Mytilus edulis: one gene and its partner. The protein of the gene in region 1 purifies or fractionates together with the protein of each later gene. This does not show direct contact. Links are inferred from orthologs where the notes say so. Each region holds a gene or a part of one and is shown on either strand. Other genes may lie near its edges. The genes, in order: ATP-dependent RNA helicase me31b-like and protein LSM14 homolog A-like.

Evidence for each region.
Region 2: the proteins of ATP-dependent RNA helicase me31b-like (region 1) and protein LSM14 homolog A-like purify together in Caenorhabditis elegans (affinity purification with mass spectrometry; 3 studies listed by BioGRID, with this or other methods). This does not show direct contact. The link is inferred for Mytilus edulis from reciprocal best matches to the Caenorhabditis elegans genes cgh-1 and car-1.

The regions. Positions count from the first base shown.
Region 1 is NC_092348.1:72,000,009-72,011,292, forward strand, and holds the start of ATP-dependent RNA helicase me31b-like, read right to left. Parts: upstream 5,743-11,284; 5' UTR 5,501-5,742; exon of another isoform or gene 5,393-5,500; intron 2,711-5,392; 5' UTR 2,632-2,710; coding exon 2,549-2,631; intron 1,284-2,548; coding exon 1,223-1,283; intron 795-1,222; coding exon 560-794; intron 131-559; coding exon 1-130. UniProt on the Caenorhabditis elegans protein: Probable RNA helicase required for oocyte and sperm function. Also required to prevent the physiological germline apoptosis mechanism killing essentially all developing oocytes.
Region 2 is NC_092348.1:83,810,297-83,821,923, forward strand, and holds the start of protein LSM14 homolog A-like, read right to left. Parts: upstream 5,032-11,627; 5' UTR 4,898-5,031; coding exon 4,777-4,897; intron 481-4,776; coding exon 308-480; intron 1-307. Other genes in the region: transcription initiation factor TFIID subunit 4-like, read left to right, coding at 5,098-6,195, 7,487-7,630, 8,046-8,205, 8,669-8,808, 9,365-9,454, 9,744-9,890, 10,376-10,530, 11,070-11,239 and 1 more. UniProt on the Caenorhabditis elegans protein: Transcriptional regulator. Involved in modulating embryonic expression of ATP-dependent chaperone cdc-48.1. May play a role in mRNA gene silencing, and RNA granule (P-body) assembly.

The DNA of each region.
Region 1 (11,284 bases):
CTCATGATATCGTCTTTTAAATTGGTTCCTCCAGTAGTCACCATACATTTGATACCTAAATGTTTACTAATTTCTATACAAATCTGACTAGTCTGTAAGGCAAGTTCTCTAGTAGGTACAATTATCATAGCTGTAAAAAATGAACAAAAATTTCGTCAATTTAAAAAATAATAATTTATGAACCGTTTTAATGGTGTCATTCTTTTGTTTGCTTAATTTGTAGATTAAGCTTGTAAGTTTGGACTGTTTTAATGGTGTCATTCTTTTGTTTGCTTAATTTGTAGACTAAGCTTGTAAGTTACATGTACAAATACCAGAGGCTACAAATATTAATTTAGCCTGATATTTCTATGACCATAAAACAGTGAATTAAGACTTGACATATTGTATAGACAAAATGTCTGATGTTGATCTCTGTGTATTGGTACTTGGTAGGTTGTGATTGCAGTCTTATGGAATAAAGTCAACATGTCAACCTATACATCAACATTTTTTGCAAATGACATTTAACCTGTTATAGATTACAGCTTTACAAAATAGTAGATTAGTTTATCTTTACCTTGAACTTCATCCCTTGAAGGGTCACATTTCTCTAATATTGGTATAGTATAAGCACCAGTTTTTCCAGTACCATTTTTGGCTCTAGCTAAGATGTCTCGCCCTGTAAGTGCTATAGGAATACTAGCTTCCTGTATAGGTGATGGTGATTCCCATCCTTTTTCAAAAATCCCCATCAAAAGCTCTCTCTTCAGACAAAAATCTTCAAATTCATTCCCTTTTGTATTGGTAACATCCTAAAAAGCAGAGAAATTGCACATCATTGCTTTTGAAACTGAAAGGCTTAAATATACACTAAATAGGCTACAAATGTGCATGTTACTTCATTGAATGGAATAAAAAATATTCAGAATAAATGTCCAAATGACAAAATGCATAGATTCAATATATCAGTTTAGAAAATCAAAATCATCAAAGATTCTTAGACATGTACAATGTACATCTCTCTCATCGTCTTGTTTATCAAATAGGTAAAGTATACAACTACTTCATGTTCATAAAATATTATGTACATCATATATAATATTATGTAGTGAACTCTAAGGAAAATCCTTCAACATAACTTGTAAGTGTCTAAAGAACTCTATAAATCAGGTTGCTGTACAGGTTGGTAACCTTTGTAATTTACCTAATGTAAATATTTTTTCCTAATTACTATACTTACAGTCGTCTTGATTCTGTTATCCTTTGGAGGAAGCTTTAATTTGGACTTCCAACCCTGGTCACTGAAAGACAATAGCAGATAACTCACTTAACATTAAAGAAAATCTGAATACAATTCTTTTCTCATTTTGAAGAAATTTAGTTCATCTGACATGTCTGGTCATAATTTTTTCCAAACAAAAAATGTAAAATTAATGAAAAAGGAAATCCTTTAATAAGTCGTATAGGCTTTGACAGGACTTTCCCTTGAAATTGAAGTAGTAGGCTAAATTACAATTATAGGTGGCAGGTGGCTGTAACATGCATTCGGCGAAGTCGAAACGCCCAAGCTTAACAGCTTGGGGCAAAATGGCAGGGGGTCTGGGGGGCCGCTGAAGGCCCCCAGAAGCTCTGGCACAAATAAAACAAAATAATTGAAAAAGAACAAAACAATTGAAAAAGATATTTTTTCTTTTTGAATTTATATTTTTATCAGTGAAGTAGCTTGCACTTGAAGCGACTGTAAACTGTGGAAATCTGCCGTCTACCGCCTTCTTTGGAAAGCCTTGCTTTGAAATAGCTTTAAGTAACTTCAACTACTCTCAGATGTGTACTTAACATGTTGTTTTTTGTTGTGGGAACGTATTTATACTCTGCCAAGTTGGGTATGTCTTTTTGCTTTGTATCAATCTAATGAGTTAACCCTTTAGAACTATTTTCATAGTTAGTTCTAATGTTGTACTGTAATGCCACTGTCCCAGGTTAGGGTGATCAGGTTTGGCATAAAAAAAAACTTGTGTAACCTTTAACATTCAGTACTAAGTGATTCAATGACTTGTTGAAGAATATCCTTTAGTTTTTCATTCATTGTTTTGTACATAAATCAGGTCATCAGTTTTCTTGTTTGAATTGTTTTATATGCGTCATTTCAGGGTCTTTTAAAGCTATGTGGAATGGGTTTTTGCTCATTGCTGAAAGCTGTACGGTTACTTAAAATCATTTATATCATTTGGTCTCTAGTTGAATGTCTCATTGACAATCATACAAGTCTTATTTTCATATCTTTTACAAATGTGTAGCTGTCAAAATCTTTGAGCAAGATATTTACCATGTTTTCTAAGATTTAGTTTTAGCTAAAAATAGTTCTTGTATGTAATCAATATATGTGATCTCAAAATATATGCAATTCATTGTGGTTGCTTATTAAAGAATGCTTTGTGATTACTTTCATTAGAATTGCTGTCTTATTGCTGTTTACAACTAATTTCTCACTCATGCATGATCATTGATTATCTTAAATTGTTTGATTTTCACTTTTCTCTGTTGGTTGTTCATAAATTGACCATACCCTGTGCCAGGATTCCCTTTCCCATCCATGGGTGGAGGTCCAGCGTGGTTCATATTTTGTTCCATTCTGGCTGAAGCCATCATTTATGTATCCAAAACTCCTTTTTATTTATTTACGCAGCGAAATATTCACTTATGTGAAACTCATCAGCGATATCTGAATCTGAAAATACACAAAATAAAACCTATGTAAATTGCATTTAAAAGATTGAAAGATTTTTTTCCCAGTAGTAACCCCACTTTGATATATGAAACATTGGTGACCCGAATTGCGGGATAATGTAAATCCAACATTCTGGAAATTTGGGTCCATCAGATTTGACCGAGTTTAATATTCTATTTTATTTTCACTGGAAGTGGAGTTTCTTTAGATTCTGGAAAATTAATTGAAAAACAAAATAAATATTTGCCCACCTCAAAATAACAAATGCAGTGTTCCAGCTAGGTTTTCAAAAGGGCAGGGTGCCAATCCTGAAAAAGGGCATTTAATGCGCGATATGATAATATGAAAGGGCATATTTTAATAAAAGATGTTAATCAAACATTTGTGTTTATTCGTTGAATCACAGGTTATACAAGAACAACATCTTTAGCCCATATAGAACTCTATCTTTCTACTTTTAAGGCTGAAAAACTTGTCAAGCAGCTTGTCACACAAGTTTTTTTATCATTGCTTGGCACAGTTGAACTTTATATGCAGTATGTTTTGAAAGGAGATCTGTTTCATACTGTTTCTATGGTCTACCACATTTTACCAGTTTCACCTTTCTACCCCTGCTGTGCTTGATGGCAATACAGCACAAAACAGCTGTGCTCAGTAAATTCACAATTTTAGGATATAAAGCAACAGTGAAAAATAGTATCAAAAATAAAGAATACAGAAAAAGATGACCAAGGCACCCTACCAACACTGCTACTAAGACCCTCTTTAACTTTTCCCATAACTCAAAATAAATACCTAAACATATATATTCTTAAGCAAGAAGTATGGAGACACATTTTAGAATATGTAAATGGGTTACTCAATGCTAGGAAAAAAATCAGATTGAGTTATCTTTCTTTATTCGGGTGTGCTCCTTCTTTGGAGGATTATAAACAGTACGTAAATATGATGTAAATATGATCACAATATGGCGGCCGATTTTATTATTTTCGTATCAAAAATGAAGGCAGTCAATGACAAATACGTCTGAATTTTCTGTTTATTTTACAGAAAACAAGTAAAACAATGTCTTCAACGAGTTTATAATGGTTTTCCAACTTTCTGTCATTACGTTTCTTCCATGAAACTACGGTAAACATCGCAAATTATGCCCAAGTTGTTGTATGCACATTTCTTCAAAGATAATTGCCGACTGACCGATTCTATTTGAACGAATTAATGTTGATGATCATTAATGACCCATCCGATAAACGGATTACCTATAACAACAGATTATGACACCAGTTGTAACCATTGATTAGCTTGGGGTGGTAAACAAAGTCATAATCTTTTCCCCAGGTAAAATTTAGTAATTAGCGTATCATATCAATACGCAAATTAATATGCAATCAATCTTCAAAAAAGGCAGGGCGCCCTGGAAACTGTAAAAAGGGCACAGGGCGCCACTCGGAAAAGGGCGGCAGTCTGCACCAAAAACTTTTTCAACTACTAGTCCGAAGACCAATATTCTGACATTTTTCTTATTGGGCCAAACAAAGTTTTGCAAAAACTTACTAGTCCGAATGAAATTTTACTAGTCTGGGGCATCGGACTAGTGGCTAACCGTGCAGACTGGGGCGGGCGCAGCGCCCTCTGAAAACGGCCTAGCTGGAACACTGAAATGGAAGTATATCTCATTTTATCATTTCTTTTAAATATTTCAGGAAAACTTTGTGTCAATAAGCACAAAGAGGTAGGACTTTGTAACTACGTGAAAATTTCTAGTCTGCAATGAAAATGTCAAAATTAGGTCTCAAAGTTCCAAAAATATTTGCACTCTAAGTCCAGACGTAAAAATGGCTTCAGCGTTACTTTGTAGGAAGGTGTCCCAGAAAAAAATAAAATAGCCTTGCCAGACATAATTATTTGGACTAAATTTAAAACAAATACATTGCCAATGATATCATTCTGATATAAATTTGGCCTGAATAAAACAATTTTTTTGCTGATGATGTAATTTATTAAATGGAAATTGGCAAAATATGGTAAATCACGGTATTTCAGTTATAAATAAACTCTTGAACCTATCAATTTTATTCTTTTCTATCCCTTTAGGCATGTTAGGAGGATAAAACAATTACAAGAATGATTTTATTTTGGTTACTGTGCGTTTATGACGAAATAAGCTAATGTGTGACCTTCTTCCATCATCATCAACAATTTGACGAGTTCAAAACTACATAGATGTTGAGAAAGGGGGGGGGGGGGGGTGGGGGGGGGTCAAAATTTCTTTGAAAGACTATAGTTAGAGTTAAATTAAAAAAAGATAATCCAAATTCAACATCCTCATTTATGGTTGTCATTGTTTATAACTGGCAGACGGTGAGTGTCTTACTGGAACCTGATGCGGGTTACAGAAAGGTATTTCTTTTTGGCGTCTTATTGAAATCGGTTATTTATACCGGTCTCGGGAGTTCGTATATTTTCTAATGAATTCCAGCACAATTTTCATATCTTGAATTAACAGTCGTACTTAATACATAATGAAAACTCTATATACTTTTGTAAAATCCGCGTAGGTTGTTGGCTTTGCAATAAATATTTGGTAATAATTATAAAAAAAAAATCAGCTGTTTCGTTATAGAGTGGATGAATTATTACTTAAATTACAACGGAACATATCTTTCAATGTAAAATAAATACTTTCTCAGGTAATTAAATGTTTCAACTCAATGATTGTAAAATTTGAGAGTTCTTTGTTTATCTATAAGTCCGATGGCTGGGGATTTATATCTTGACCACCAAACTTACCAATAACATTCAAAATGGCCGATTGAGCGATAGGTGGCGTTGTTGTTTTGTTTCCATTTGAACAAATGGGACTTATATCGCTGTTTTGCTTTAGTTTCAGATTTAAATTTGTTTAAATAAAACTAATTTAAGATACTCAATTCAAACTAAATTAGAAAATAGGTTTTATCTTAGTGCTAAGGAAATTTTTGAAACTATATTTGAACTTTGACCCAAGAAATCTGCAAAACAAATAAACTTCCGGTTGTCATCTTCTGCTAAAGGGTGGATTAATGGTACATGTAGTCAACAACAGGGAACACATTTTTAGACAAATAAGTTTTAACATCTAATTAAAACAGTACTTAAAAAGCAGCATGGGGAATCAAAAAGTCTGTACGAAATAGTTGAATTAAATTGTATTAAAATTTTAAATAATTTGGCTCCTGTATGTTTACAAAATTTACTCCAAATTAAACTAAACTATTCTTTTAGATACAGTAATATTTTGGAAATACCACAGGTTAGAACTATCTCAGGTGGAAAAAAATCTTTTAGTTTTGCTGCTGCTTCTTTGTGGAATAGCTTACCAGACCATTTCAGGACTGCTTCTCACATTTTAAGAGTCTTGTTCCGGCAGTCCTGGAGTGGAACGGAATGTTTTTGCGAGTCTGCCTGTAGATAATTTCTGTTACAATATTTATGCTTTTTATGCTGCATTAACAGCTTGCATTGCAACTGAAATTTTGTTTTATACATTTTAAAATTTGAAAGATTTGAAATTTTTACTTTATAAATCATAAATTAAAAAAAAAAATATTTTTAACTGCAAATTTAAAAAAAAATTGGTGCTTCATATATATGTTCTGGTATTTTGCAAGATACATGGATATGCTATTTGCTTAGAGTTAATTTTTGGTGCTGCTTTTTATTATTTATTGCATGATACTGCATGCCTTGTTTTATTTGTTATTGCATATGTTTATATTCGGTGAAAAGCTCATTTGAGCTTTATATGTTTGTATTGTTTGTCAATATGCCGAATCCAAATAAAGTTTTACTTACTTACTTACATGGATACCCTACTCACACTATCATTTTCCATGTTCAATGGACCGTGAAATTGGGTAAAAGTCTAATTTAATTTTGGCATTAAAATTAGAAAGATCATACCATAGGGAACATGTGTACTAAATTTCAAGTTGATTGGACTTCAGCTTCATCAAAAACTATCTTGACCAAAAACTTTAACTTGAAACTCGCACTTTCATTTTCTATGTTCAGTGGTCTGAACCGTGAAATTTGGGTCAAAAGTATAGTTTGGCTTTAAAATTAGAACGATCATATCATAAGCAACATGTGTACTAAGTTTTAAGTTGATATTGGACTTCAGCTTCATCAAAAACCACCTTGACCAAAAACTTTAACCTGAAGCGGGACAGACGGACGAACGGACAATCTAATTAAAATATTAATCTCTGATTACGTTATACTACATATGAGATCTAACAACTATCCATATGAGGTATAACGTAGTCAGAGATCAATATTTTAATTAGATTGGACGAACTGACGGAAGGACTGTACAATGGACGAACGGACGGACCCACAGACCAGAAGACATAATGCCCCTCTTCTATCATAGGTGGGGCATAAAAATACAGACAGCCATTCCTCTCGGTCTTATTGATAATATCAAGAGAATTGATAACATATCAAGAACCGATTCTATAAATAACATTTTGGATACAATATAGTTTCTAAAACTGATCGTAAAAACCGTTCTTATGGGAGTTAAATAAATTGCAATCAAAGAAATTTCAGTCGTAGGAACAATACAAATATTTCGGACATTTATTACTATTTAAACAAAACAACAGTAGACATAATCTGTTAACAAAGCTTTCGGTTCTTTGCCTGTTAATAAATCACATCAAATTTGATTTCCAACACTGGCATATTCCATATTGCAGACCTAATTAGATATGATGAGATGTGGTGTAAGTGCCAATGCAACAACTCTCCATCGAATTTACAATTTGTTAAAGTAAATCATTATAGGTCATAGATATAGGAAGATGTGGTGTGAGTGCCAATGAGACAACTCTCCATACAAATAACAATTTAAAAAGTAAACCATTATAGGTTAAAGTACGGACTTCAACACGGCGCCTTGGCTCACACCGAACAACAAGCTATAAAGGGCCCCAAAATTATTAGTGTAAAACCATTCAAACGGGAAACCCAACGGTCTAATCTATATAAACAAAACGAGAAACGAGAAATACGTATATATTACATAAACAAACGACAACTACTTCCTGACTTAGGACAGGTGCAAACATTTGCAGCGGGATTAAACGTTTTAATGGATCCAAACCTTCTCCCTTTTTCTGAAACAATAGCATAACATCACAACAAAGAAAAACATACGATAAAATATCAATTGGGAGACTTAATTCAATCAAAAAACGTATGATTAAACAATGAACGAATAAATTTGATCTGCGATATCTGAATACAAATGCACAGTTAATTAAATATTAGAGACAAACATTCATGACCAAAAAGCTAATAAACAAATTCAAACACAGGACATGACTGAGAAATATTTAACCAATCAATCAATATAGTACGCTTTTCATCACGGGGACGGCTTAGCAAACACCGAACAGCAACATATAAAGGGCCCCAAAATTGACTATTTTAAAACCAATCGTTAGTAAACAGGAAAACCAACGGCATAATCTATGTATACAAAATGAGAAACGAGAAACACTTTAAGAACCGCATACTCAATTTACAACCACCGAACATCAGGTCCCTGACTTAATACAGATGCAAACATATGCAGCATGTTTAACCGTTTTAAAATAGGTAGCAACCGTAACCCTTACCTGAAACATTAGTGTAACATTACAACATAGAAAGATACACTATAAAACATTAATTGGAATGGCTTAACTCAATAAATGAGGGGGGACTCCGGGATCAGGTGTTTTTAAGCTCGGGATTTCGGGATTCGGGAATTTTTTTATTTTTTTTTGGATTTCGGGACGTCGGGATTTACTTTATTTAAATTCGGGACCTCGGGATTTCGTGTTTTCAAGCCCTGGATTTCGGGATCAGGACCCCTCCTATCCCCCCTCATAAAAAGACATATTAACAAAAACAAGTGAACATACACTGAACTAAGTATGAAATCGTTCAAATTTTAATTGCATATTACTATTCTAAGCTGTTTCTCAAAATTCGCTCTGAAGATAACAAAAAAAAACATTTGATTAAAAACAAATATGTCAATAAAGGTTTTTGATTTTGTAAGTATTAACGACATTTTAAAAAAACTATTCTGTTAACGAACAAATTATTTGCAATTTTGATAATACTGAAGTCCCTCTTATTTGTTTTGTTTATAAAAAAAATCTATCTGGAAACATATGAATTATTAATTTCTTTTTAACGGTTACCCATTCTGACATCGGACTCGGACTTCTTTTAAACTGAGTTTTAAGAACTTTTACTGTGCGTATTGCTGTGTGTTTGTTTATTTTCATTGGCTAGAGGTTTAGAGGGGGGTTGAGATATCACATTATGGTCATAACATATTTCTCCCCGCCGCATTTATGCGCCTGTCCCAAGTCAGGATCCTCTGGCCTTTGTAAGTCATTTATGTTTGGTTTTTTTAATTTTAGTTCGTTAACATGTTTCTAAGTTTTAGTGTGACGTACATTTTCACTTTTTGGATATTTTTCATCGTCAAGTACATTAGAATATATACAATTTTGTTTGGATCACGCTCATCATCACGTTCTTGTTTTGCTTTTTTTAATAAATTCGTCGCATCTTAAACACTCTCCTCTATTTACATCTTTTATATCTTTCATTATAAAAAAACATCAACTTCAATTTCAAAAGATAATAAAAGATGTTTGGTCGAATAAATGTAGTATCACCCCCAGCGTATTTGTTCTAGACGTAGTGTTTCGATTCAGGTGCAGCATTCATCAAAAGAATGTTATCTGATGCCAGTTGACCAAATGTCCCTAAAATCAGGGATCAACGAGACTCGTTGAACTCAAATTGAAATCGCTAATATTCTCTGAAATGTTACTTAATGAATTCTTTGAAAGTAGACGATGGAGTTTAGCCGGCCCGTACAAAGCAGAAGGAATCGGTGGATAACGTTCTTTAAAATAAATTTGTATTAAAATCCTCAATTCTCTTATTATCAATCGTATAGTTTACCTATACGGATTTTATTTGCATTTTGAAATAAACCCCGCCACTTTTTGAGATTCAAACTAGAGGCTCTTAAGAGCCTGTGTCGCTCACCTTGGTCTATGTGCATATTAAACAAATTACACAGATGGATTCATGACAAAATTGTGTTTTGGTGATGGTGATGTGTTTGTAGATCCTTATGTACTGAAATTCTTGCTACTTACAATTTTCTCTATCTATAATAAACTTGGCCCTTTCGTTACAGTTGAACATATTTTGTAAAAATTTACAAAAATTTACCAAATTAATGAAAATTGTTAAAAATGGACTATAAAGGGCAATAACTCCTTAAGGGGTCAACTGACCATTTTGGTCATGTTGACTTATTTGTAGATCTTACTTTGCTTAACATTATTGCTGTTTACAGTTTATCTCTATCTATAACAGTATTTAAGATAATAACCAAAAATTGCAAAATTTCTTTAAAAATTACCAATTGGGGGACCGCAACCCAACAACCAGTTGTCCAATTCATCTGAAAATTTCAGGGCAGATAGAACAATTTAAATGCTTGTCAGATTTGCTTTAAATGCTTTGGTTTCAAAGTTATAAGCCATAATCTACATTTTACCCCTATGTTCTAATTTTAGCCATGGCGGCTATCTTGGTTGGTTGGCCGGGTTACCGCACATATTTTTTGAACTACATACTCTAATAATGATTGTGGCTAAGTTTTGGCCCAGTAGTTTCAGAGGAGAAGATTTTTGTAGAAGATTACAAAAATTTACGAAAAATTTGTAAAATTGACTATAAAGGACAATAACTCCTTAAGGGGTCAACTGACCATGTTGGTCATGTTGACTTATTTGTAGATCTTACTTTGCTGAACATTATGATGTTTACAGTTTATCTTTATCTATAATAATATTCAAAATAATAACCAAAAACTGCAAAATTTTCTTAAAATTACCCATTTAGTGGCAGCAACCCAACAACAGGTTCTCCGATTCATCTGAAAATTTCAGGGCATATAGATCTTGACCTGATAAACTATTTTACCCCATGTCAGATTTGCTCTAAATACAGAGATATCAGCCAAAATCTACATTTTACCCCTATGTTCTATTTTAACCATGGCGGCCATCTTGGTTGGTTGGCCGGGTCACCGGACACATTTTTTAAACGATGATTGTGGCCAAGTTTGGTTAAATTTGACCCAGTTGTTTCATAGGAGAAGATTTTTGTAAAAGTTAAAAGACGATGACGACGACGGACGACGGACGCAAAGTGATGAGAAAAGCCCACTTGGTCCTTCGGGCAAGGTGAGATAAAAATGAAAGGTCAACTCGAATTGTACAAAGTTGCCAAACTACTTGATAGAATCAACACTTTACTAACCTCTGTGTTTGGGACGAAATATTTTGATCACAATTTGATGTCCTAGACTATTTATTATTGTAATGTTATTGTTTTGTAAGACACACACTTTAAATTTATTTAGTATTTAGAAGTCGCATTAAGAAAGATCGCATACATTTCACATTTTCAATTCATTTTGATTTAGCATAGAGTTTTAGTTTA
Region 2 (11,627 bases), about 12 Mb from region 1:
ATTACAGACCTTCACCAGAAGGCTTAAAGCACTTTATATTGGCTTTTTTTTAATTCCTAAACTTGGTTAAGTGGTTATCATGGTTATAGGTAATTTAAAAATTTCGACATAACATACTTTATTGCTTGTATTAAATAAATTTCAATTTTTCATTGATTTAAATTTTGAAGCAAGATTCTTTGGCTAAAGTTTGATTTTACTCTTGATTAATATTCTTAAAAAGACAATATAAGTGCAACCTCCTTGATAATTACTTGTCTATTCTATTCTCTATATAAATTGTTTAAAACATTAATGGGATACAAACTTTGACAATAGCAGGATCTTGTGGTAAGGTTGTCTGCAGAGGTTGTGGTTTTGGTGGCTCACAGACATGCAAATCTTTGATATCACTGCCTCGAAATATTATATATTCAAATATCTCATCTCTAGGTGCTACAGGACGATCAGTTGGTCGATCTTCAGTTCCAAATGAACGAACTGAAAATAGAAAAAGAAAGAATAATTATTGTTCAAACTACATAAAATATCATGGCTACTTGCCAAAATTTATATATCTTACCTCGACTCATTGTGTATTCTTACAGCAAATGAGTTATGATAATGGTTTGCCAATTTCCAGTAAGTGTTTCCTACAGCATTAAAAAACCTACAAACACAAAATATATAGGCCAACCTATATGACATTTCTGTGATTTCTTTTTATTAATCGGAATTTAGAGTTGGCTTGACTATTACAAAGTCTGGAAACGTGACAAACAGTATATGTAGAATTCTTCTTTTGCATTCAGAGGGATCTCCATGGATGAAAATTTAATGATGGAGGAACTTTTAACATGACAAAACTTAGCGTCTACCTAGTGGGCCAAAGTATTTCATTCCTCTATTTCTAATTAAGGAACGGTAAACACAAGCTGTCCTCAAGGTTCCCATGTCCTTTTCTTGCTATTTAGGTAATGGTTTAAGGCTTAAATATTTCATTGAGAAATTCAGGAGTCATGAATCAGTATTGCTGATTTGCAGCATCAACAACAAGAAGTTTCGTAATAGTAAAGCATTGAACTTGAAGAAAGATTAACATTAACAATTAAAAAGTTTTAATGACTAACTAGCGAAAGTTATACAAATATACATTTGTTCTTAGATACAAATATACATTTGTACTAAGCAAAAAGTAAAATCACAAAAATACTGAACTCAGAGGAAAATCAATTCGGAAAGTCCATAATCACATGGCAAAATCAAATAACAAAACGCATCAAAAACGAATGGACAAGAACTGTCATATTCCTGACTTGGTACAGGCATTTTCAAATGTAGAAAATGGTGGATTGAACCTGGTTTTATAGCTAGCTAAACCTCTCACTTGTATGACAGTCGCATCAAATTCCATTATATAGTCACCGATGCGTGAACAAAACAAACAGACATAATAGGTAAAAATGTCAAAAATAGGGGTACAGCAGTCAACATTATGTTATCATCTTAATCACTATAAAAACAACAAATGTAACGAAGAAGCACAAAAAGGCATACATCAAATTAACATCCTCATTTTGATTATATTATACGATTATATTTGTCTATGTAAAATGCACCCATCAAGGAAGGAGGGTATGGGTACTGGTGTAAAATTGCGCGTTACTTTATACTGAATGTACAAAAAATGTAAACTGGAAAACCAGATGCATCAATTGATTGTAAACTTTGAAATAAATTCAGAATAACAACATAAGAATTTTGTCAGATTATTCATGATCAGTTGCAGTTAATATTAATATATATTCGTTTTTTTTTTATATTTGTAATGTTATTCCATATTATTGATAATTGCTGTAATCATGTGATTTGGAATTAAACTCTGTTTTTATGTCTTCTTTGGTACTTGTGCTTGTTGCATACGTCATTATAAAATCACAAGTTTGACTGATGGATTTAAAAGTCTATAAATCAGGAGGACCCTTTGGATAATTATATAAAAAGCCTAAGGGTCATGAAAATGGCAGGGTTTTAAGGCATAAATTAGGCCTTTAGTTTTCTCATTTGATTTGTTTTAAATTTGTCATTACAGGGCTATTTATAGCCGACTAGTATGCAGTAAGGGCTTTGCTCATTGTTGAACGCAGTACAGTGAACATTAGTTGTTAATTTCTGTGTCATTTGGTCTCTTGTGGTGATGTTAGTTGTCTCATTGGCATTCATACCACATCTTCCTTTATATATTCATTTGAAGGTGCAGAAGATATTCAAAAGATATCTCTTCACCATCACAAAACAGGTCATGGAGATCCCTGAAAACGCACACATAATTATCATTATACTATAAATCATTTTATATATCTTGTTCCTAATTCATCTTTGTAACATTGCTAGTAAGACTATAAATATATAATAATGCAGACCTCTATGAGAACAACCTAAACAAAGCACATGCAAATACAAAAGTCCAATCAATCGATAGTCACTCAAGTCTTTCAGCAATGATTGCATTTTGTGGAACAATTGAAGTGGCTATTTCCTTAATTCGACTTGTTAGACTCTTAATGGTCTATGGGTATAAATCTTATTGTTTGTACACCCTGATACCTGTTCGCCCAGGGTCCATTCGCCCTGATTTTTATTTTTTTCAAAGTGTTGTCTAGTTGCATAATTCTAAATATTTGAACAAAATATGTTAAAATTTGACATTATTTATATTGCCACAACCAATTTATAATTTTCCCTTTGATTTGCAGAGTAGAATACTGGAAAACAATGTCATGAATGTATTTATCTTTATTGATATTTGTTAACAAAAAAATTGTAATTTGTATTCAGTCAATCATGAATCAATGTATGCAGTATAACTGAGACTAGTCTAAGAGTATAAGAATAAATGAACTTGTAAATCTGTCTCATGCAGTGATCGGGAAGGTCGTGCGCCTTGCGCCTATAGCGCATATTGACAAGCAATGGCGCATACATTGATAAATGTAAGCGCCCACGTGGCGCACGATAGTTTTCACTTCGTTTCGAAACGTTTAGATATCGTCAAATGAATTTCCGATAATGTTCCGTGCCGCCATGTGTGTGTACACAACTGTGTAAAGTTCCTCTAATAATAGGAGCACCTATATATTTTTGGGACGTCTCGGGTGTTTTCCTATCATAATAGAACCATGCAATTTAACGTCTCGGTGTTTTCCTATTGTAATAATAGAACCATGCGGTCTAACGGATAACCCGAAAAACGTAATTAACCATCATTCATGATATATTATTTTTATAAACAACTTTAAATTTGTGAAATTTGGCTAGTACAGACGAGTTTTAACTCTAATAATAATCTCATTTAGTTTAGCTTGCTATTATTTCGATTGAAGAACCCCAAAGACTTTTTAGGAATATAGTTTTTGATCTCCATAACAGACGCTTAGTGTCCTTGTCATTTTTTGGTCTTTGGCTCGTTTTGACATTTTGTAAACATGACTTCAGCGATTTGTTGTTTTGTTCTATGAATTAATGGTACTCTATACTGTTTGTTATTCTTGTCAATGTGATGAAGTTACAATAATACAAGAAGTGCAGAGGAAATGCCCGAAATGTCCTCTGATAGATACGGAACGTCTGAAAGAAGTATGGTATCGACGAAGACCCAAATTTAATGTACAAAAAACATGAATATGAACAAGGTAACCGTACCAGTTTAAACATTGTAAATAAAGGTCGACTTAAATATTATTGGGGTTGGAAGAAGTTATTGTATATTCATTGAAATTGAATTACCAAATCACAGGAACAATATCCATGATGGAGTATATTTTGGCAAAGAGATGTTGATACTTACATTCATGATTTTATTTAAGTATCAACATCTCTTTGCCAAAATATACTGATACTTTTTTTTTTACAGAAGTCAATTCAAATGGCCTACTCATTTGACAACATGGCCCATTATTTTTTAAAATGGCCCATTGAATTTATTTTTGAGGGGCCCTGGGCCCATAGAGAAAAAAAACTTCCAGATCACTGCTCATGATTTACAGTTCGTACATCATTGTTTCTATTAATTTGAAGCTGAATATTTTATCAAAACAAAACGTTTGTTTTTATTATTAATCCATCAAAAGACAAGTATCACAATCAGTGAGCATTATTTTGTGATTGAATAATTAATAATCCTAAACAAGCCATAAACTTTTAAATATTTCCATGTTTCGAATTCCATAAATTTCAAGAATTTATACCATAGAAATATCTGAATAAGTTTATTTAACTTCAATGCCAAGAATAATATTTTTTTTAGTAGGGCGAACAGACTCTATGGACGAAGGAACTCAAGGCTAACAGACCCAAGTTGAACATGTTATTAGGGCGAACGGACCTGATATCCATTCTAACCATAATGTATCAAGTGCCACTGATGCATCTTCTTAGTTTAAGACGAAACCAGTGTAGGGCATATTAAATCATGACACAAGGATAAGCCAGGTATCTTTCACAACATAAATTCGTTTTTTTTATGTCAGAGTCGAGTATGTTTACTTGCATGATAATGTCTAAAGCTCAAACGTTACCGTGTTTACTCCCAAAGTGGAAGTGCTGGGTTTACCCATTGTCGTTTGTGCAAAACCTATCGCTTTTGTCATAAACTTTCCGGTTATTTCATGGCACCAAACTTTTGAGTAGGTAAAGGAATGCTGTCGCTTTTAACGACAAACGCATTTATTTTTTTGTTGCAGATGTTAATTTCACAACATGCATATATTTCATTTTCTGGAATGCTATCTATATTACCTTTCGCTAATGCAACTGTCGATTCATTCGGATCAATGGTATATAAAATACCCTCATATCGAATTCCTGCTTTAGAAATAAGACTTATTTTGCTACCAAGATATGGAATCCCCCCACTCATGATGGCAAGGAATCTCTAAACTTTCAAACAAAGGAGGATGCCAACGGATTTATCTGCTTCATCCAAAATATTGTATCAGCAGAATATAAGATGGCGGATGTTTTGATTCTGTCACGAGAGGGCGTACTTTTGAAAAAAGTGTCCCACAAATCTGTGATTTGCGCCTGCGTACTTCAGTCTAAAAATTTACTGCTAGGGAAATGGCGGCTGTCAACCCTCTAGATGATATTCTTAATAGTTCTGTAGATGAACTGGCAATTAATGCCTTAGTTGGCAATTTAGAAGCACGTCTAGCTTCCCCATCCAATAAGGATGTGTCTAATTCTTTATCAGATGCCTCAGTCAATAACAATCACATTGGCACAACAAGGTCTTCAACACCACAAAATAGTGGTTCAGTGTTCAACACGGCTACTGGAGTAGGTGCCAATGGACAAGCTGTATCAGCTCACAAAAACTTCACAAATTCTCATAATTTAAATGTTCAGTCTCCCTCCTCAAAAACAGACTCACAGTTGATTGGAATCAATTCAATATTAAATCCTATGAACTCATCACAAACAAGCAATATTGTTAGTACACATGTGAACTCATTGACAGTGAATAGAAGTTCTCCAATACCAGAATCAAATCGTATTCAGTCCCCTCACATAATAAGAACAGTATCAAACTCTCCAGGTTTTCAGAATGCAAGGAATTCACCAGTTCCATCGCCAAATTCAAATCCAGCCATATCCGCTAGTTCGCAGCATGCAATCAAACCAGACAATAGTGCTATTATTCAAAATGTTGCAATATTAGGAGATCATAAACCTTTAATGTCACAAGGAAACTGTATTCAAGTATCATCTAGTCAACAAATTCCAGGTGGACAAAATGTGTGTGTTAAACAAGAACCAGCAATAAGCTCACAGTATATTGTCAAAACCGAAAATATGCCTGTATCAAGTGTGAAAAATGAACCAAGGACAGCAGCTATACAAGCAGTGACAGGACTTCAAAATAGTGTATATACATCAGGAAATCATATTACACATGCAACCAATGTTCATATTGTAAATGCTCCAATCAAAGGCCATTCGGGTGTTATTACAGTGAAAACAGGTCCGCAACATGTAGTAATGCGACCACAAATTGTACAAAATTCAGGACAAATGCAAGTTGTTAATGTTAGTGCTCATTCAAATAGACCACCTGGAATAGTACAGGTGCCTCATGGAAAACACCAACCAGTCCGTATAGCTACACCAGCTCGTCACTCTCAAATAAACATTGCTCCAAGACCTGGTGGTGCTCCTGTAAGTTATATACCACTTGCTACTTTGTTTATTTTTTCTAGACTAGCTCACTTTAATCTGACATGGGCATGTAGAAGAGTAACAAAATTTTGAAAGAAAATGTAAAGATTACATGCATGTACATTGTATCTTTCGGAGATGTACATGTATGTTAATGTATAAAACAGCTATGAAAGATATACAATAAGCTCTTGATTAATGTTTGGTGTAATGTTATATTGCCTTGATTTCATATATTCAAACATGTTTAGGGGCACAGCCACAAGCAATTTTTGCTCCAGTTACCCGTATATATGACTTGTTTTAAAGTAAGCAACTGTTATTTACCTTATATATATGTGTACAGTAATTAACATGCACATGAACCAATCTACACTGTATTAGCACAATTTCTATAGTTTGTCATCAAAAGGGGAATAACTCTTTTTAGACTTTAATTAATCTAAATTATCATGCTTCAATTTGTAATTTTTCTTTGGCAATGACATAATTATACACTGCAATTTTAAATACACATAAAATGATGTGGCCAGATAGTATAAGTACTATCATAGCTACATGTACATGTATCATATCATAATGATGATAACTACATGTATCATGTGTAAAAACTTGACAAATTTACAAAAAAAAGTTCAATTGTTTACTACCCACCTGTACAAATGAATATATATAAGATTGTAACATTATCACAGAAAATAAAAAAGTATGATAAAAAACTGTACAGCTATCCAGATCAAAGGGAGACAACACATGTACACCTTTCTAAGGCCATTCAAAAAATAATATAATTGCTTGCCCCTCAGTCAACCCTGCTCAGGAATGTCTGTTTTTGCATCCTAGTAATTTCGTTCGTTTTCTTTTAAGAAATATAAAGAAGCAAGTGTATGTTTTGATTTAATTATTAAAATTGGTTTATATTAATTGTCTGATAATTTTTCTTAAAAATGTGTAATTCATATAATTCTTAAAGTTTATAATACATACATGTAGCTTCTAAATATCACAATAAATATATTGCAAGATATGATTAATTTCAAATATTTAAACAAAAAAGTCAAACCTTTGTGAGTTTTTTAGATAAAGTTCTGTGTAGAGCAATGCTGTTTTAGTTCAAGAATATACATTTTTAGTGCATTCATAGAAACCCTGCCGACATTTGACAATTGCAATATTTATATGAATTATATCTGTTTTCCTTTTATTTGGATTTGTTGTTTAAATGTCGGATATCAATATACCTCATTCAACCTTATACTAATAGACTAACATTTCCTGTTTACTTTTTTAGAATACAATTACATTACCGCCTGGTGTGCAAATTCCTCCTGGGACAGTACTGATGAGAAATGAACAAGGTCAGCTGATGTTTGTCCCTGCTTTACATGCATCTCAGCAACCTACTACACAAGGCCAAAGAATACAGTATGTCAGGGTATGTATTGATTGTCTGCCCGACAGACTTTATAGTATTATCAAAAGTTATTGGAAATTAATAATTATACATTGAATGAACTTTAATTAGTTCAAGCAAGCAGGTAATTCAAGCTGATTACGTCAGATGGAGCTATGAATTAACAAGGAGTCAATTGCCTCATTCCCCCCAATATACTATCTTATTAAATCATTTCAATATCACATTCTCTTCCAGATTTTCTGCATGGTGTAGTTTATATCCTGCCGTGTTTTATGTAGTCCTTAATTTTATATGTTACATGTTGGTAACAATTTAATTTGACATATTTAGACAATAGGCATGATAGGCCAACATACAACATGTACATATATGCAACTTGATACCTTGAATTCTTATGTATTTCAATTTACATGTACATGCATTATCTTTGTAGCCACCTGTAAGTTCACATCAGCAGCGCCCTCCAAATTCACAGATTGTGACTATTCAACCACAACAAGCACAACCTCCGAGGGTAGTCAGACCAAATACTCAACCATCAGTGACATCATCAGTTCCTACAGTTGTATCTCAACCACCATCTGCAAGTCAAGGTAGATAACTCAAAATTGTCATGAAAATTTTATTTCAATACTTGTTAAAAAGAAAAGTTCAGATAAAACAAAAATATAATTTAAAACCAATTCTCTTCACAATGACTCAATGACAGTAATATGACAGACTTTGTTTCCAGGAACTATGATAAATAAAGCAGTCTCTTTTCCATGCATGATTTTCAGCAAAAATAAACCCTATTCCAAATTTCGAAGTTTTAACTTTTACAGTTTTATTTTCATACCAAATAAAGGGAAATGATATTATAGACATGATAAATAAAGCTGTCACACCTTTTTCAGTTCTGAACCAGATAGGTTAATATTCAGGGACAATAATGCACCAATATCGTGATAAACCAGGTAGATTTTGATATTCTTAAACTAAGCATTTTATTAGATGATGAATAGAAATAATTAATGTTTTGTTTTTCTATCATCATTTCTGAATTTATGTTTACAGGTTCATTACCAGGTCATCATCAACAACCATTAGATAATGTGAAAAAATGTAAAAATTTCTTGTCAACTTTGATCAAACTAGCAGCAAGTCAACCAGAACAAACTGTGAAGAATGTCAGAGAACTTATCCAAGGACTAATAGTAAGTATATTTGATACTGGTTTTTTTTTCTAAAAATTGATTCTGCAAGGATTGCATATTTATTGGAGAGGTTTTTACAGAGGATTACAAACTTTTTGACATTTTGTTAATGACATATATATGCATTTTATTGCTATTATTTATCTAAAATCTATATATATATCACTAGCCCATTTTACTAAACTTTGAGTAAAAGTTTGGGTTCTTAATCATATTAATGCTAGTCAACTTCATACTTTATTTGGCCTTTTTCACGTTTTTAATTCGAGCATCACTGAATGACTGATGAGTCTTTTCTAGGAAAAAAACACAAATCTGGGGTACAAAATTTAAAGCCTGGTATCCATGATGATTTTATTCACAGATTTTTTTTTTAAATAAACATCTTTTCCTACTTCGTAATATAATGAGATAAAATTGTGTGAAGAAACATGTTTACTACAGTTCATATAGTATGCTATGTTTTACCACAGTGCTCACACATTTATCAATGTTTTAGACCATGCATATTTTTGTAATTTCCGATATATACTCATATATTAAATATTTATTACAGGACAATAAAGTTGAACCAGAACAATTTACTGAAAGGTTACAGAAAGAACTTAAATCATCACCTCAACCATATTTAGTGCCATTTCTCAAGGTAACTATAGCCTTTATAGGAGTGACTTATATATACACCTTTTAAATTAAATGTTTCCCTTAATTTCAGATTAATTTAATCAGTTTCAATGTTTCTACAAAATGAAGTTTTAACTAGCTTTATTCTATCTTTTTATTTAATAAACATAAACAACATTAAACTTGCATTTCTTTATAGTTTTAAGTTGCATTCTATGTTCTCTATATCTTTTCTACATAATCCATACGTTGCTCATTTTCTTGTTTAGAAATATAATAGTAGGTGAACTCATACATTGATATAATTTCAGAAAAGTCTACCACATTTACGGCAGTCCTTGCTAGAAAATAAGATGCATATAGAAGGAGTAAAAGCACCTCCAATAGAGGTTATGAAAGGCACGGCATTCGGTAGTTCAAATATACAACCACACCCAAGCCACATAAGGTTGCAGCAGGTAATTATATGGATACATTCTGGAATTAGAGAAGAGACCATACAAAAACAAATTTTAACTTCTCAGGCCACTTTTTATAGCAGTGAGACTTTTGTGGTATATAAGATCAACAAGTTATTGCACAATAGTTTCAAAAGCAAACTGAAAATTTAGTTAGAATTTTCAAATTCATAATTTGGACACATTTTTTGTAAATTTCTTAGCTGCCTGGAAAGTGTATTTGGTTATCTTGGTAAGAGTGGAAGTTCCTGTTGCCATATCATTTCTTCGTAAACCAATTATCTTAAATGTAGTTAAATGTTAGCTGATATTTTAAGGACCAGTTGAGCAAGGTTGCAGTTTTCTTGGGTTATCTTAAAACGAAATTACTTTCAAAATCTTAAATGAATGGGGGCAGAGTGAGACAGTTACCCTTAAATCCACACTATGTACGTCTGAATATCATTATTATAAATCAATGTATTCAGATATTTGCCTCTTTTTAGCAGCCAATGGATGGATTACAACATATAAGACCTAACCAAGTTAGAATGCAACAGAGACCAGTTATTCCTAAGACAGTAATGACGGCAGGACACCCGGTGGCAAGTCCATCAGCCAGTAGACCCCATAGTGCTAAACCTAAATATGAATCATTGAAGTGAGTATTGTCCCTTGTTCAGAGTTTTTCTTAGAAAATTTGCTGTATAGTGTTCAAAATGAATGTTTTAGAGATTTTTTACTTAATTTTGTATATGGAAAATGTCAGGTTTTAATTATATCAAGTTTTTTTGTCTTTTTAATTTATTAAATTGTAATATAGGTAGGATATGAATATATTATATCATTTGAAAACATTAATACTCTCTAGTTGACTTCTTTTTCATTGTGTTGCTGTTGACTTATACCCTACACCTTTCTAGTCATCAACAACTACATAAAATGTTTTCCTCCTTGTCTTCCCGAATCCCAATACATGCATTCCTTTTATTGTCGACAGTATGGGTTAATAAATTGTTGAAGGCCATATATAATTGCTGACATCCATTTCATTTGTAACCTGTTGGTTTTCTACATGCTATACATACTAATCAAACCAATGCAATCAAAAAATCCAATTTTTTTTTTTAAATCATAGAAGATTAAATGAAGATATTATCAATAATGTAGCTATGAAGGATAAATGATAATTATTTACAGAGATGATGACGATATAAATGATGTAGCTACTATGGGTGGTGTAAACCTGACAGAGGAGAGTAGGAATATATTAGCCAGCAATTCAGAGTTTATTGGTACACACATCAGGTCCTGTTCTGATGAAGCCTTTTTACACCACTCAGCTTTACAGAAGAGAGTTTCTTGTATAGGTATAGTAATTATTGCAATGTTTCTTTGCTGCAGGCGTCAGTTAGTTTTCAACATGCTTTTCATCAATTATGTAAAATAGGACAAATTATCCGACAGCATTTCTACAAGATATGTTAATTTTCTTGTACTTACCTCAATCTTGTTTTTGTGATGATTTTTAAGAAATAAAGTTATTTGATTGAGGAGCAATATGGGATATAATCATTGCCGACAACTATTTGCCGCTGTAAGGATTACTAATAAAATAAGACCCTTTTCAGTTAAAATGAAATAAAACTTTTAAATCAACTATTTATTACTTAAAAATATTTATTCAACAATTTTATGTATTATATTTTTCAGCGAGGAAGCATGGTTTAGATGTAACTAATGATGTTCTTAACCTTG